Linked DNA regions of Notamacropus eugenii. The protein of the gene in region 2 interacts with the protein of the main gene of each other region in a biochemical or structural test. Links are inferred from orthologs where the notes say so. Each region holds a gene or a part of one and is shown on either strand. Other genes may lie near its edges.

Evidence for each region.
Region 1: of the proteins of SERPINF2 (region 2) and neutrophil elastase-like, one has a biochemical effect on the other in vitro, tested with the Homo sapiens proteins (2 studies listed by BioGRID). The link is inferred for Notamacropus eugenii from reciprocal best matches to the Homo sapiens genes SERPINF2 and ELANE.

Annotation. Positions count from the first base shown.
Region 1 is NC_092875.1:60,987,487-60,995,471, forward strand, and holds the start of neutrophil elastase-like, read left to right. Parts: upstream 1-4,938; 5' UTR 4,939-4,983; coding exon 4,984-5,080; exon of another isoform or gene 5,081-5,253; intron 5,254-5,490; exon of another isoform or gene 5,491-5,562; coding exon of another isoform or gene 5,563-5,629; intron 5,630-7,985. UniProt on the Homo sapiens protein: Serine protease that modifies the functions of natural killer cells, monocytes and granulocytes. Inhibits C5a-dependent neutrophil enzyme release and chemotaxis. Promotes cleavage of GSDMB, thereby inhibiting pyroptosis. Promotes blood coagulation.
Region 2 is NC_092873.1:39,759,143-39,766,298, reverse strand, and holds the start of SERPINF2 (alpha-2-antiplasmin), read right to left. Parts: upstream 2,965-7,156; coding exon 2,939-2,964; intron 2,071-2,938; coding exon of another isoform or gene 1,750-2,070; exon of another isoform or gene 570-1,749; intron 1-569. Other genes in the region: WDR81 (WD repeat-containing protein 81), read right to left, coding at 1,750-2,070, 2,939-3,118, 3,400-3,545, 4,142-4,837, 5,447-5,612, 5,703-5,868, 6,353-6,543, 6,757-6,947.

The DNA of each region.
Region 1 (7,985 bases), on a different chromosome or scaffold from region 2:
CCTGGGAGTCTTTCCACCATCCTCTACTCCTGGGATGAGAGACCCGAGAGGTGGAGGATGTACACAGAGGCTTCAACTTTCACAAGGCAGGGTGTGGTCACTAAAGAGCTGAGCTTGGAGTCAGGAAAGACCTGGGTTCAAATCTCACCTGTGACACTTACTAGTAGTTTGTATGACCTTGGGCAAGTCACACCACTTTGAGTCTCAGTTTCTCTCATCTGTCAAATGTGGGTAATGATAGCGCCCACCTCACAGGGTTGTTGTGAGGATCTGATAAGACTATGTATGGAAAGCATTTTGTAAACCTTGGAAGTTCTATAGAGATGCGAGTCATCATTATAACCAACCCCCTCAAAACTTGACCCATCCGCCGTGTCTATGGGAGGGTAAAGTAAGGGAAGGCCCACTAGGAAGATGAAGATGATGGCTATTTATTAGTCTTCAGAATGCTCCCCTTTTTGGTGATAATGATTCCACCTCAGTCAGCCCAGGTTCTTTATCTGAGCCTGAGGACATGTTCCACCTCAAACACTTTGAGGGCCTCAGATGAATTCCTCTGCCCACCCCTCAGATCTTCCCCTTGGGAGCAGGTAAAGAAACATCCACAACTCACCTTCCAGCAGCTAAATAACACAGTGGATAGGACACTCCATCCAAGTCAGGAAGACCTAAGTTCAAATACCATCTCCCACACTAACTGGCTATGTGACTCTGGGCAAGCAGGTTCTCTGTGCCTCAGTTTCCTCCTCTGCAAAATGAGGAGGTTGCACTCCATGGCCTCTAAGCCAATGGGGTCATTATTTGAAAAGCCATTTGCCTGCCCCCCTCAAAGCCTCCGTAGGGTGTATCAGGATCTAAGCTTCCTGAAAACCTGGTATAAGGGGGTGGGGGTGGAGGGACAGGCCCAATTCTGATCACAGCCCTCTCCCCCATCTAGCCCTAGACTATGGTTTCAGTAAACTCAAAGGTATCCAGACCCTTACCATGGAGACTGCTTGGCATTCCCAAGGGCATAGGAAGGCACTGAAGTCCTTCAGGGAACTGGGGACAAGGTTCTGGAGGCATTAAGCTGGTCACAGGTGGCCAGAGGAGATGGGAACAGTGGTCCCTTTCCCTCAGGAACAAGTCTGGGCCAGGCTAGGAGTGATGGAGCCCTCTGGTTCTGTAGCAGCATACTCTAAGATGTAGTACTTGGACTCACAAAGAGGAGGGGACAGTCAACATCCATCTCCACTAAGCATTCCAAGATCTGGCCTTACCCACCCAACTCGTTCCAACCAGAGGCTGGCCCCATCCACTTTTTTCTGGTCAGTCAGGCAGACAGGCAGGCAAGCAGGCAACAAACCTCAACACAAAAGCCCTTGTTTAGGAGTCAAGAGACCTGCCTGGATTCACACCCCATTTTGACAAATGAGTCACTGTGTAATCCAAGACAAACCCATCTCTCAGTTGCATCCGTAAAATGATGAGATGGGACTGTAATCTCTGAGGCCCAGTCTATCTCTGACACCCAGAGCTCTGTCTCTTCATTCTCTCTCAGTCTAAGCAAGGATACTGCAGGGAGGTGAGGTTTCTGAGTAAATGGAGACCATTTCAAAGAGAGAATCAGTTGGGATTCAGGACATTTATTTGACCTTATATATTCCCCCAATGTCAGGTAGGAGCTTGGACAGAGCACTTGGGCCTGCCAGGACTAACTGTCTGGGAGTGAGGGGAGAGAGCTAAGGGAGGGTTTTACACCTTGTAAGAAACTGAATAGTAAGACAGACACATAAATATTATATTATGAGTATATGTGATATAATACATTATTACATTACATATAATGTCTGGGGGAGGAAGGGAGGATTTTATTTTTTTAGGATTTTATTACAGTGAGACACACACGTTATATATTATGTAATATAAAATTGTATTTTATATATAATGTCTAGGGGGTGTGGAGGGAGGGCTCAGGGAAGATTTTAAACTTTTTGAGAAACTCTACAGTGAGGCGTCTATGTGACTGTACAGTTTTTCACAAAGTGTAAAGCGCTCTGTTGGCCTTCTCCCTACAGACAGTACTGGGAGTTCCAAGTGCTCTGCACATGCTCCTACATGACATTATTCTGAAGGTCTGCAGGCCTCAAGGACTCATGCAGCCCATCACACTTTTCTCCTCTCCATTCACATGGGATCTCCAGAGCTTCACAAAGGCCAAGGTCTGGGCCCAGTTCCATATCATCCACATGCCAACCTTACCTCTCCCCTTGCCCACCTTCTGGTCCAATGGGACTCGTCATTCCTTTAATGTAAAATTTACCAATAACCTCATGATTCTAATGATACTAATCCTACACCCCCCACCTGCCCCAATTCTCTCTGTGCTACCAAACTGATCTTATGATCACAGAATCACACAGAATCAGAGAACTGGAAGGAACCTCAAAGGACATCCAGCAGTAGTCCAACCTGTACCTGAAGGGGCTCTCATAACATTACCATGTCCAATACCTCATTTTATGGATGAGGAAATTGAGATCCAGAATGGGCAAGGGACTCGGCCAAAGTTACGCAGCTAAAGTCAAGTGACAGAATTAGGATTTAAATTCAGGTCTTCTGACTCCAAATTAGTTCCCTTTCTTGCCTATTTCAGTGAAGGCCATAGCCAGTTCCTCCTCTGACTTCCTGTATCCCTTGTCCAATGTCCTCCACAAATAGATGGCATTTGACTGCTCTTTCTCCAGCATGTCCCAGTTAATGTTTTTAATTTATTGATATCTTTTGATTTTGCATTACCTTTATTTCTGAATATACACTTTCCCCTATTAAGTCACTTCTTTTAATCAAGAATAAAAACAGGGAGAAAAGTAAAACAGGGCATGTCTGTGGAAGAGGGAATACATTTGTTCTACTTGACCTTTCAAATTCAAGCAGACCCTACTAGAATGCCCACCCACTCCCTAGCCTTTTTCAGAATAAATGACTCCACTTCCTTCAACTGGTCCTCATCTGGCGCCATGTTAAGGCTCTTCACTAACCTGCCTACCTTCCTCTGGACCTTTATCAGTTTATCCGTGTCCTTCCTAAAATGTGGTATCCACCATCAGTCATAGTCTCCAGATGTGGTCTGACCAGGACAGGGAGAGACAATCACTTCCCGGATACCAGAACTGGCCTTTTCTTTCTCTTTTTTTAAATTTATCTAGCATTTTTTTGGTCTCCCTATCTCTACCTCCCATTCACCGGAAGAAGAAGAAAATAACCCTCAACAACAATCATCCCCATCTGGGCCATGCCCCCAAAGTGTTTCTTCTCCTGTGTCTTCAGTCCATGATCTTTCTTTCAGGAGATGGGTCACATTCTTCAGCATCCATCAGTCTTCTGGATTATGGTTGATCATGGTGTTGATCAGAATTCTTTTTTTCCTCTTTATTTATATGTTTATTTATTTTTAATTTTCAACATTTACTTCCATATACTTTTGAGTTTTAAATTTTCTCTGCCTCCCTCCTCAAGACAGAGTACAATCTAATATAGACTCTACATATACATTCTTAAAGGACCCAAAGTCTCCCAGTGTACCCTGGGTCATCTCCAGTCATCCTGAGAAATATCAGGTCTCTGGATTCAGATGGCTCTGGAGGAGAAGTGATGTTGGTGACCTGCACAGCCCTCCTTCACTCAAAACAAAGTCAAGTCAAAGTCACGTCATTATTTCTCTGATGGCATGGTCTTCTTTGGCAATGAAGGACAAACACAACAACAATTTTCACGTTAGTCATGTTGTAAAGAAGAATTAGGAGGAATCATGAGAAAGAGAAAACAAAACAAAAAAAAGAGAGAGAGGTCAAATAGTCTGCTTCCACCTGCATTCCGACTCCATGGTTCTTTCTCTAGATGTGGATATCATATTCCATCATGAGTCTTTTGGAGTTATTCTTTGATCCTTGCATTTCTGAGAAGAGCTAGGTCCATCAAAGTTGTTGATAAGAATTCTTAGGCCTTTCAGAGTTGCTGTTTTTACATTGTTGATGTTAGAGTATCAGTGGTTCTCCTGGTTATGCTCAGTTCCCTCTGCATCTGTCCATATGAATTCCCAGGCTTCTCTGAAACCCTCTGCCTCATCTTTTATTTCGGTGGAATCATCTTCCATTATAGTCATACAGCATAAATTGTACAAACACTCCCCAAATGGTAAATAACTCCAAGACCCCTTTAGTTTCCTGCTCTTTGCCAGAAAAGAGCTTCTATAAATATTTTGATACATATGAATCCTTTTCCCCTTTCTTTGATCTTTTAGAGTACAGGCCCAGCAGTACATCACTGGGTCAAAGGACATGCACAGTTTAGTAACTTTGGGGGCAGGCTATGCTTCTCTTACTACAGTTCAAAATGGCACCAGCTTTTGGGCTACCATGTCACCTTGTTCACTCCTACTGGAGTCCACTTGCAGTCCAGTGCTGTGGCTTGAGGTCTGCTAAGATCCTCAGATTGTTTTCAGAGAAACTGCTCTCTGTGAGTTTGTGGCTACTTCCTTGCATGGGACAATGCTTATCTAAATACATAATTGGGTAGATTTGTGTGTACCTGTGTGTCTAACCTTGAGTGAACATGTGCATGTCTGAGAATGAGCATACCTCCATATGTTTATGCAAGCATAAATCTACATGTGTCTCTGTATGTGAGCCTCTGTGTGCGTGTTTTTGTGTCTTTGAATCTGTGAACATGGGGGTCTAGCTGTATCCCAATGCTAAATAGAAATGACATTTGGAAATCCTGGTATCCTGGAGATAATTGTGTGGGCCCATGAAGCCAAGCTGAATTGGCCCAGCCTAGACAAATGAGCAGTCAGGCTGCTTCCTGCAATAGGCCTGACCCCTTCCGGTCAGGCTGAAAACTTGGCAAGATTGCCTCCCCCTTCCTTCCCCAATTCCCCCTTCCCTAACACCCCCCACCCCCAGCCACCGTTTGCTCTTGCATCACTGACAGAGACAGTTGGAAATGGAGCATCTTTGGAGGAGTTTGGAAGGGGAACTGGACTTTGACTTCCTGCCAGCTCCCGAGGGGCCCTGGGGCTGCTGGGGCCATGAGTTCCCTGGTAAGAGTTGAATGACCTCTGGGGATATTAGATAGGACAGTCTGGATCAGGCTGGGAGATGGTCTCACCGCTGAAGTCACTTGGAGTGCTGAGATTTGAGGATCCTGAGGAGGCCTCCAAGTGATGATCTTTTGAGATCATAAGCCTCTTGGAGCTGAAATTACAACTCCCAGGTCTGCTCCAGCTGATTCATCCTTCTCTTCTGCCCTCTCTCTTTCTGACCTGTTGTAGGAGGGTAGATAGAAGGCTGCCACTGCTGCGGAGGTTCCTATATCCCACATCTCGTTATTGCCCCATTCCTCAGGGTCCTGGGTCTCTTTCTCCTGCCCCCATAGGGGAAAATAGGGGAAGTAACAGCCCCCAACCAGCCCCTGGGGCCTGTGGGGTAATTACAACGAACTCTCCATCAGGAACTATAAGTGGAGAGATTGGGAAAGAGGCCCCACAAAGACCCCAAGGCTGCTGCAGACGTCTCCCTGCCTATGTTGAGCATGGCGTCCCCCCTTCACGGCACTCTCCTCCTCCTGCTGCTGCTCTTCATCCACGGGAGTAAGTCTTGCCTGCCTGTTTGTCCACCTGCCTACCTGTCTGCCTGTCTGTCTAGCACTGGAGAGATAAAGGTTATGGGTGCTGGGTGAGAGACAGCAGAAGACACAGGGAAATTTCAACCTTAGGGTTCTTCTTCTAGGGCAAGGAGGAACAGTCATTCATTCATTCATACAAATATTATCACTTGAGGTACTTCTTAGAGGGGGATTAGTTATAGATCACAGAGCTAGCAGATGCTTTAGAACATGGAATGGTAGAGTTAGAAGACAGAAAGAGAGAGAGAGAGAGGGATGGATGGATGGATGGATGAATGAATGCATGGATAACTAGGTAGGTAGGCAGATAGATGATGGAACATTTATTAAATACCTACTATGAGCTAGCTACTGGACTAAGGAGCTCAGGACATAAAATATAGAATATTAGAACTGGGAGGTGTATAGAATACAGACTGTCAGAGCTAGAAGAAGTCTGATAACACAGAACCTAGAATGCTGGAAATGGAAGGGACCTCAGAGAACAGAAAATAGTAGGTCAGGGCTGAGAGGAACCTTAGAATATAAAGCACAAAATGTGAGACAAGAAGAACCTTCAAACCTGGAAGGTTAGAATGAAAGGAATATCAGAAGATAGGAACATGGCATTTCAGAACAGGAAGGCAGTGGTGAACATAGAACACAGAATATCAAAGCAGGAAGCATCTTGGAGCCTAGAACCTAGAATGTTAGAACTAGAAGGGACATTAGAATGTAGAAGCCAGGGTGTTTCAAAAGTCTAAGACGAGTCTATTGAAATACCCTATGTTAGAGATTGAGGAACTGCTAGAATAAGAAACATGAAGCATAGACTTTTAAAATGGGAAAGGAGACAGAATGTGGAATAGCAGACATAGAAGAAGGGACCTTAGGAAAGAGGAAAGAAGAAAATTTAGAACATAGAATGCTAGAGATGAAAGGGCCCTTAGAAGCTCAAATAGAGAAACCTCAAAGCTGGAAGGGGTCTTAGAACACAGAACATGGAATTTTTGAGCCAGAAGCATAGAACGTCAAAGGTGGAAGAGCCTTAGAACTCAGGGTACAGGAAAGATCCTTAGAACAAAGAAATCAGAGCTGTACGGTGTGTTAGAATGGAAACATAGAATCTTCAATCAAGAAAAGACCTTGGAGCATAAAGCACAGTATCGTGAGGTGCAAGGAAGCCCAAAACATACAACATATTATGATAATAATAACAATAGCTGGTGTTTACATAGTGCCTTAAGTACTTTCAAAGTACAAGGAATATCTTAGTTGATATTCAGTTGACTTCTGAAGATGGGGCTAGGCTAAGTGTGGTCCCTTCCAAATCAAGTAGGACAGGGTGTCCCCAGTGGGGGTGAGATCCCCAATACTGGACGTATTCAAACAGAAGTTGCATGAGGGATTCATGTATATAATGGACACTAGGTCTATATCAGAGGTGGAGAACCTGCAACCTGGAGGGTACATGTGGTTCTCTAGGTCCTCGGGTGCAGCCTTTAGACTGAGTCCAAATTTTATGAAATAAATCCTTTTATTAAGGGGATTTGTTCTGTGAAGTTTGAATTCTGTCAAAGGGCTGCACTTGAGGACCCAGAGGGCCACATATGACCTTGAGGTTGCAATTTCCCACAACAAGGGGGTACAGTAGGTAGGTGCTGGGCCCAGAATCAAGAAGACTTGAGTTCAAGTCTCAGCCACTTGCTAGTTGTGTAACCTTGGGCAAGTCACTTAAACTCTGTCTGCATCAATTTCCTAAGCTGCCAAGTGAGTATCATAGTAGCACCTACCCCACTAAGGATATCATGAGGCTGAAGCTAGATTATATAGGTAAAGTGTTTTGCAAACCTTAAAGAGCTATATTTAATAAGGAGCTATTATTACAGCTTTAAAACAATCTTTTCACCATCCGAAGCATCCCTCACCAACCTCAGCTCATTCTGAGAATCAGTATTCCTGACCTGTCCTTACAGGATGACTCCTCTGTTTCTATAAATCTGTTTGCTGCCATTGCTTCTATATTCTGCACGTGTCTTTTAAAAATCCCAGCTGTTTAATGAGCTCCCTCTGCAGTCAAATTATTCTTTTTAGATAAATCGCTTTTGTCTAAACTCATCACTGGAAGGCTTCTCTTTCTGAGTGGTCAGCATTTCATTCTTGAGAACTTTCCATCCCTCTTGGGCTGACTGTTAGACCACATGGAATTTTAGATCACAAGATCATATTCACCCTTTCTTTAAATACTTTTAAATCTAAAATCTAGACTGGGGACCCAAATTCCAAGTTGGAACAGTTACTGCCCTGAAATATTCCTATTTGTTTTTATGTCAGCATCTAGT
Region 2 (7,156 bases):
TGCTGTGCTCAATGCATGCTTGTTAATTAACAAGTCTGAGACTTCTCCTCTCCCTCCTCCCACCTCCAACGGGCACAGACTCCATTCCTAGGAAAATCCAGTAACACACACATCTTCATTTCTTTCAGCTTAGTCACTGGATTTTCTAACTTGTCAGTCCACATTAATATTTTGAGGATTTACTATCGGCTCAATATTGAGCATACAGCCTGGACCTTGCTGGGTGAACCCAAGTGATTTAATCCCATTCAGTGGGTGGGTGAGGTTCACCTTCCTTTATGGGTGGAGCTCTGGGACCCAATGGCTCCCACAGCACCTGGCACCATCACCACTTGACTGCTTGGGAGGTCGGGGTCTCCACTCACCTGCTGGAAGTCCCTCATCTAAAACGGCCACACAGCATCAGTTCCTTAAGGAAGGGTACCCCATCCTTTTCTTATAGAGGCTGAACTCAGTAAGGTAAGTAGTTTCCTTGTGAAGCTGGCTATTTGCATCTGATACAGACGGGCCTGCTTCCTTCCTGCCCCTCCTACTATACCCCCAGACCCCATATCAACAGCCTTACTCCATTTCATGGCTCTTCCAAAGTGTTTATTGTCATATTTACATCTATTGCAAATAGTGGATGGGAGGCTGGGATCAAGAGGCATCCCTGCTCCCCCACCCCAGGTTCTGGGAATGCTGCCCCATGAGATATTTCTGGGACCTAAGGGAACCTTTTCCCCAGTCTGACACAGGGTCCTGTGGGGCAAGGGTTTTCAGAAGCTGCCGCCCCAGCTCAAGGCACAAAATGCTCGGGGGAGACGGGAGGAGAGGGATTTCCCATCTAGCCCCTTTGGGGATGGGAGTTGAATAGAAGGATCCACCAGCTATGTGCAAAGCCAAGCCTGGCTCCACTCTGCTCTTACCTCATGTCTTTTCTCTTCCCCTATATTGGTCCTAAACCAGATAGGAAAGGGACAGAATGGAGGCTCTGGGACAGAACAACTGTCATCCTGAGCCTGCCCCAGGCCAGACCCTACCTATGGCCTGAAGCCCTCAGGAGTGGTCAGTGGTCAGTACCAGCACCACTGACATCCTCCTCACTCCTTAACCCCCTACTCTGCCTTTCCTCCTGGGGTACACAGAGCGGCAGAAACCTTTCCCAGTGAGGGAAGGGGTGAAGACACAGGAGTCATGATCTGCTAGGGCCATCACCACCCCTCTCCTTCAGGAGCAGAGGGGTACCCCATCTGCAGCACCAACCTCACCAGGAGGTAGCCAAAGCCTTGTAGTGGCAGATACAGCTAAAGAGTAGCCTCTGTGTCCTCCAAACTCAGCCTCAGGGTGGGAGAGGGGGCCAGGAAAGTCAGCCAGCCAACACCCAAGGCACAAGTCAAGGCTTCTCTGAGGCTCCCTGGTCTCCTCTATTCCCAGTAGACCAATGGCCTAGAGCGTTTAAGTCCAGGATGGGATCATCCATATGGCAACAGGCCCAGGGCAGGGCTTCAGGAGGTTTAGTAGGGGTGCATGAGGGGATAAGTCTTGGGCTTTGGAATCTGGGGTTTCCCTCTTTGGTGTTAGGCACAGATGGTATGGAGCCCTAGGGCCCTTCGCCCAACTGGGACATGCCTTGGAAGCCCAAACACCATGCTTGCAGATGAGTTTTGAAACAGATGGGCGAAGTCACCAAACTGGGAGAAAGGAATCTGGGGCCATGTGTGCTGACCCTGAGCACATTCCTCAGCCTGTGTCTGCTATGTCCCTCGTCTATGCCAGGAGTCGGACAGCCCCGTTGTCTGAGCCCAGTAAAAGGTGACGCTTGGTAGGTAACACGGCCAGGCTAGTGAGTGTCCCCCGGAAGTTCTCTGAGCTGAGCTTGGTGGTGGCCTGGGAGGGGGGCTCTGTCAAGGAGCAGACACCAATCTTGTTGGCCACGGTGCCCGTCACCACCTCGCTGCCATAGAGGTCGAACGTGTGAATGGGATCTGAGGGGGACTTGTAGTGGTGGGTGGGCTTCTGTTCCAGTTCTTTCCAGATGGTCAGGGAGTGGTCTGAGGATGAGCTGATCAGGGTGCCCCCTTCCACAGCCTGCCCCAGAGAGAGAGGGAGGCCATAGCAATTAGCCAGGAACTGAGGGGGGTTCCCCTTCCTCTCACAAGCTGAGCCACAAAACTACTCCTCAGAATCCATTCTGCAGGGACAGATTTGATGGGATCATCATCACTGTTCCTGGTAGTCCCTAGGACTGCCACAGAAGCCTGAGGATGCTCAGAGACTCTTGGCTGAGTGGCCCTTTTCTGAGCTCAGCAAACTGTGTATCATGAGGGTAGAGAAAGGGTATTCCCTCATACCTGACTCCCCCAGGGGCTTCCTCCTCAGCAGCACTCTAGAGCTGGGCATGAAGACAGGAGTTGGGGGTCCTCCCTCATGGGCCTGCACCACCCCCACTCCCCCTGGTCACCAAGGGAGAGTCAGGGGGAGGAGAAGAGTCTGGACTCTGCTCAGCCATGCGGGGGCAGTAAACAGGCCTCCCTGATCTTTACTGAACCTCAACTAGGTCAAGGACAGAGAGACTGACCCCTGCCCCTTGGGGCCAGGCAAATATGGACAAGGGTTACTCATTAGAACAGGGCCCCAGGGGGGCAGAAGTGACACCTCTTCTCTCCCTCCCCCCCAGAGCCCCTGCCACATGGAGGGTCCCACTGTCAAGTCCCAAAGATATGAGGGATGCTGAAGCTGGAAGTGCAACAGCAAAATGCGAGGGGACATTGGCTCAGTCTCAGTCAACTCTCAGGGTCTTGAACTCCAAGAAACGGAGACAGGGGTGGGGGTGGGTAAGAAGGAAGCCAGCTCAGGTCTGTCCCATCTACCTTCTGGCCAAATAGCCAGAGCTGCAGGCATAAGATGTCCAGGCTGCGCCCAATCTGTGAGAGGGAAGGAAGGAGGGAGACCTTACCTTGATCTGCAGGATGTCACCCTCATGAGCCGGCCACCCTCGAAGGACAAGTCCAGTCCTGGTGTCCAAGAGTACCATGAAGCCCGAGGAGAAGCCTGCTACGACACTTCGGCCACTGGGGCTAACGGCCAATGATCGGACAAGGCCAGCATTCAAGCCACCCCCTAGACGGAACTCGTGCTATAGGACCAGAGACAAGGACTGAGAGATGGCCTGGACACCTCTGGGCCTTCCCATGGCCCTCTCCATGTTTCACTCCCAAAGAACCCTCGGGGCCCTGCTTTTCCTCTACCACCCCATTCCCTCAGAGGTTTCTCATCCATTTAACAAGGCCTTGTCTTCCTTGGGTAGGAGCTCCAGTGTTTCCTGAGCTGTCTCTGACTGGCTCTCTGTGGGTCCCTCCAACTACAAGCACAAAACAGGGACTGTTTCCCATTTCATTCCTGCACCCTGGCACACACCTGCAGTCCAGGCTTCCGACAGTCCACAAAACGCAGGGTGGAATCCGCACTAGCCAGGGTGATGCTGGTGTGGGGGGCAGGCATGACAGCCACCGCAGTCCAAGGCACCCGATTATCCCAGGGCTCCACTATCCGCACAGTCTTCCCTGTGAGGGTAAAAGCACCAAGTCAGGGGGTCCAGGAGGGAATGGTCAAAGCCCTCTGTCTGACGTTACAAGAGAAGCTCTGACCACCCAACCCAGGGGTCCACTATAGCTTCCTGTTACTCCCCATGGATAGCTTTCAGGGCCTGCTAAAGATACTTCCCAAGGTCAAGATCCTGCCTAGGAGCTTTAGACCCCTCCCCTAAACAGGCACACTGCCTCCTGATTCTCTTACCCCCCTCAGGCCTGGCCCAAGCCTGTTCCCTATCCCTACTTCATCTACACCCCTGACCCATGCCCACCCCCATCCCTCTCCCACCCATAGCCAACACCTAGCCCCACACTTCCTACTACTAAGCCCACAGGCTAACCCACTTCCCTTTTCCTCCCCTCACCCCATAACCATCTCTCTCTCCCCCCACCTCCTTCTCCAAATTAATCTTCTCTGCAGCCCAGTCACGAGAGGTCAGCAGTGGGCTGGAGAGAAGCAGCATGAAGGTAAACCGTTTTCTCCTCTGTCAGGCCAGGCTCTCATCTTATCCCTAGGTCCTGGCCCGCGTGGCCTGCCTCCCCATCACATAGCACAGGGGAGGCCTCACCTGTGAACGGGTCCCAGACGTGGACGGTGCCATCACAGCTCACGACCTGCTGAGATGCCTCCAACTGGCTGACGTGGAAGATGCTCTTGCGATGGTGGGTATAGATGAGGCGAGGCGCTGTCTCACTGGTGCCATCGCCACAGTTGTAGAGTGGCCAAAGCCGGACGGTCCTGTCTTTGCTACCGCTCAGGAAGAAGTCCTCACTGCTCAGTGGGGCCACACATTTCACAGCCCCTGAGTGGCCCAGAAAGCTCTGCAGCCTGATTTGGTGGAAGTGGAAGTGGGCATCATGTTGGCTGACACCAATCTCATACTGCCAGTAGGCCAACCAGTTCCCACTCAATCCATGGGGACATCGAGGCAGATCCCGCTTCAGTGAATTCTCCTCCCCACCCATCTCGCAGAGGCCCCCGAGACAGCCAGACACTCCTGAGCTGGGGCCCAGGGGACCTGGACTCTCAGGCTGGGTGTCTACAGGAATCTGGATACGGTTCCCGACCAGCACGCTCCCAAAAGTGCCCGAGTTGCCGTCATCATGGTTCACTCCCCTGCCTTGAGGGTCCTGCTCTGCTGAGGTACTAGGCATGGGTGCCAAGTTCATAGGGTCCTGCCCCACCGGGCTGGCACTCTCCAAATACTGCCCTGCCAGCTGTCCCACGAGAACATGGTTGGGGACGATCTTCTGGATGACATCGCCTAGACATGGGTGGGAAGAGCTCAGGCCCAGAGAAGGAAGGCTGTCCCTGCCAAGGCCCCAAAGTCCAAACAAAGAAGGGATTGGTGGACAACACTGATAGCGCTTCAGGCTGTGGAACTGCCCTCCCGAGCCCAGAAGGGGGGCACTTAACATTTGGCACCCTTGAGACACTGACAGCAGAGCCCCTCGGGACAGTTAATGGGCCAGACCCTAGGGACAGGAATCCAGCGATGGAGACTAGAAGCAACCTTAAAGACAACCAAGTCCAACCCCTCATTTGACTGGCAGGGAGACCAAATCCCCAGAGTGGAAGTGACTTGCCCAAGGTCACACCACTTGTCAAAGGCATATCACAGTCCACTGTTCTTTTCCCTTTGCAGGGCAAGACCCTCTAGGATGCCACATGGCCTAAAATGAGAAAGGGGAGCCTGGAGGAAGCATCATGGGCATGTCCTCCAAGAAAGCAGAAGGGAATACAAGGCTGGAAACAAGGCACAGGAACAGAGAGGAAAACAAAGATGGGGTCAAGGGGAGGGAGGGCGAACAAGGAGCAAAGGGATGAGGTGGGAAGGCTTGGGTCCAGGGAGGTTGAGCGGGGTGGCTCCTACCCAGCAGGCAGGAGAAGGGCACGTAGGTCATGTAAGCCATCTCGAGAGTGAACACCTTCTGAAGCTCATCCAGCAAGGCCAGGTCGACAGCCCGCCGCTGCCCATCCAAGAAGGGTACCTCCAGTACACGGCCCTCACTCAGACTTGGAGTCTCTGGCCTCAGTGCCTAGCAGAAAAAGACAAGCCCAGGCTTGTGCCTCTTCACTGGCCTGGCAGGGTCAGCCCCATACCCTCCATGCCACCCTACCACACCCACCTGGCACTGAAGCTCGTGCACCAGGGAGAACACCTGGAAGAAGGTGGCTACTGTCTCACTGAGGTGCTGCTGGACCATCTCCTGCCCAATGCGCAGGCAGATCAGAGCGATCAGGCTAATGGTCTTCAAGCACAAAACGGTCCGGGCCTGGGCCCCCCCAGGGAACCTGAAGGCAACACGTTTAGACTGTGCTCTGTCTCTTCCCTACTGCCCAATCCTGACCCTCCCTGGGGCCCTGGGGAGCATTAGGGAGAGAAGCAGAACTAATCCAGGTCACGGTCTCTCAGACTCCCCTTGGAGGGGCCGTGAATCCAGGGGTCCACGAACATGGATGGGAAAAAAATTACATCTTTATTTCCACTAAAACTTTGGTTTCCTTTCTAAATCTGTGAACTTTATCTTACACATTTAAAAATGTTCTGAGGAGGGGGTCCCAAGGCCTCACCAAAAAAGGTTCAAGACCCAAAAAGGACCCAATTCAATCCCCTCATTTTAAAGATGAAACTGAGACCCACAGAGGGGATGTGATTTCCTGAAGCTCACACAGCTAGTTAGCTGCAAAAGCAGGGCTAGAATGAGGCCCAGTGGGCTCAGCTCAAAGCCCCTCTCTGGCTGTGTCCCCAGGCTGCCCCTTGGAGGGATTGGCCTACCCTGTGATGAGGGAGGTCAGGGAGTTGAGCACAGGCAGGAGGACCTCGTGGCTGATGCGGGGCAGGATGTCCATGAGTGTGGTGTCACAGAGATACACAATGATCTTCTGTGTCAGGGTGACGGCTGCCAGTAGCCCTGCCTCCTTCCGGCTATTTAGGCGGCTGGGACTTCCCCCCATTCCAGGAGCCACCTTGGACCAAGGAAGGGAAAAGAGGCTAAGTCACTCTGAACTCTGCCCAGAGAGATGGTCCCAAAGACCTCTGCCTGCTCATGGGCCCTGAGAAAGAAGCTCTGTTCATCTTCCCACCCCACCCCCATCTGGTGCCATCTCACAGCCCCAGCCCTGTCCCAGTTAAATGAGGCCCCAGGGATGTGTGGGAAAGCTCAGGACCAAGGCACTGACCAGGTAGCTGATATAGGGAAGATACTGGTAGGTGAGGACGGGCTCCCCATAGAGGCAGGCCACATGCATGAGGCAGCCCAGGACAGGGGCAGACACCACATCCCCCAGCACCGGACGCTTCTGATAGATGTTGCCCGAGTTCAAGGGGCTTGAGTTGCTGATGCTTCCCATAAACTGCTGCCTCGTGGAGCCTAGGAGAGGAAAAGGACGGACCATAACTGCTCTCAGAAGTGAGGGAGGAAATGAGTACCTCAGTGCTCAGACAGAATCACGGAATTACAGCCCTGGAAGGGCCTCAGAGAACACAGGAGATATGTGGTACCTGCCCCTTGGACACATCACATGGACCCACCCTCCCCAATCTCCTCAAAGGAGAGGGAAGGAGCCCTAAGTAGGACCA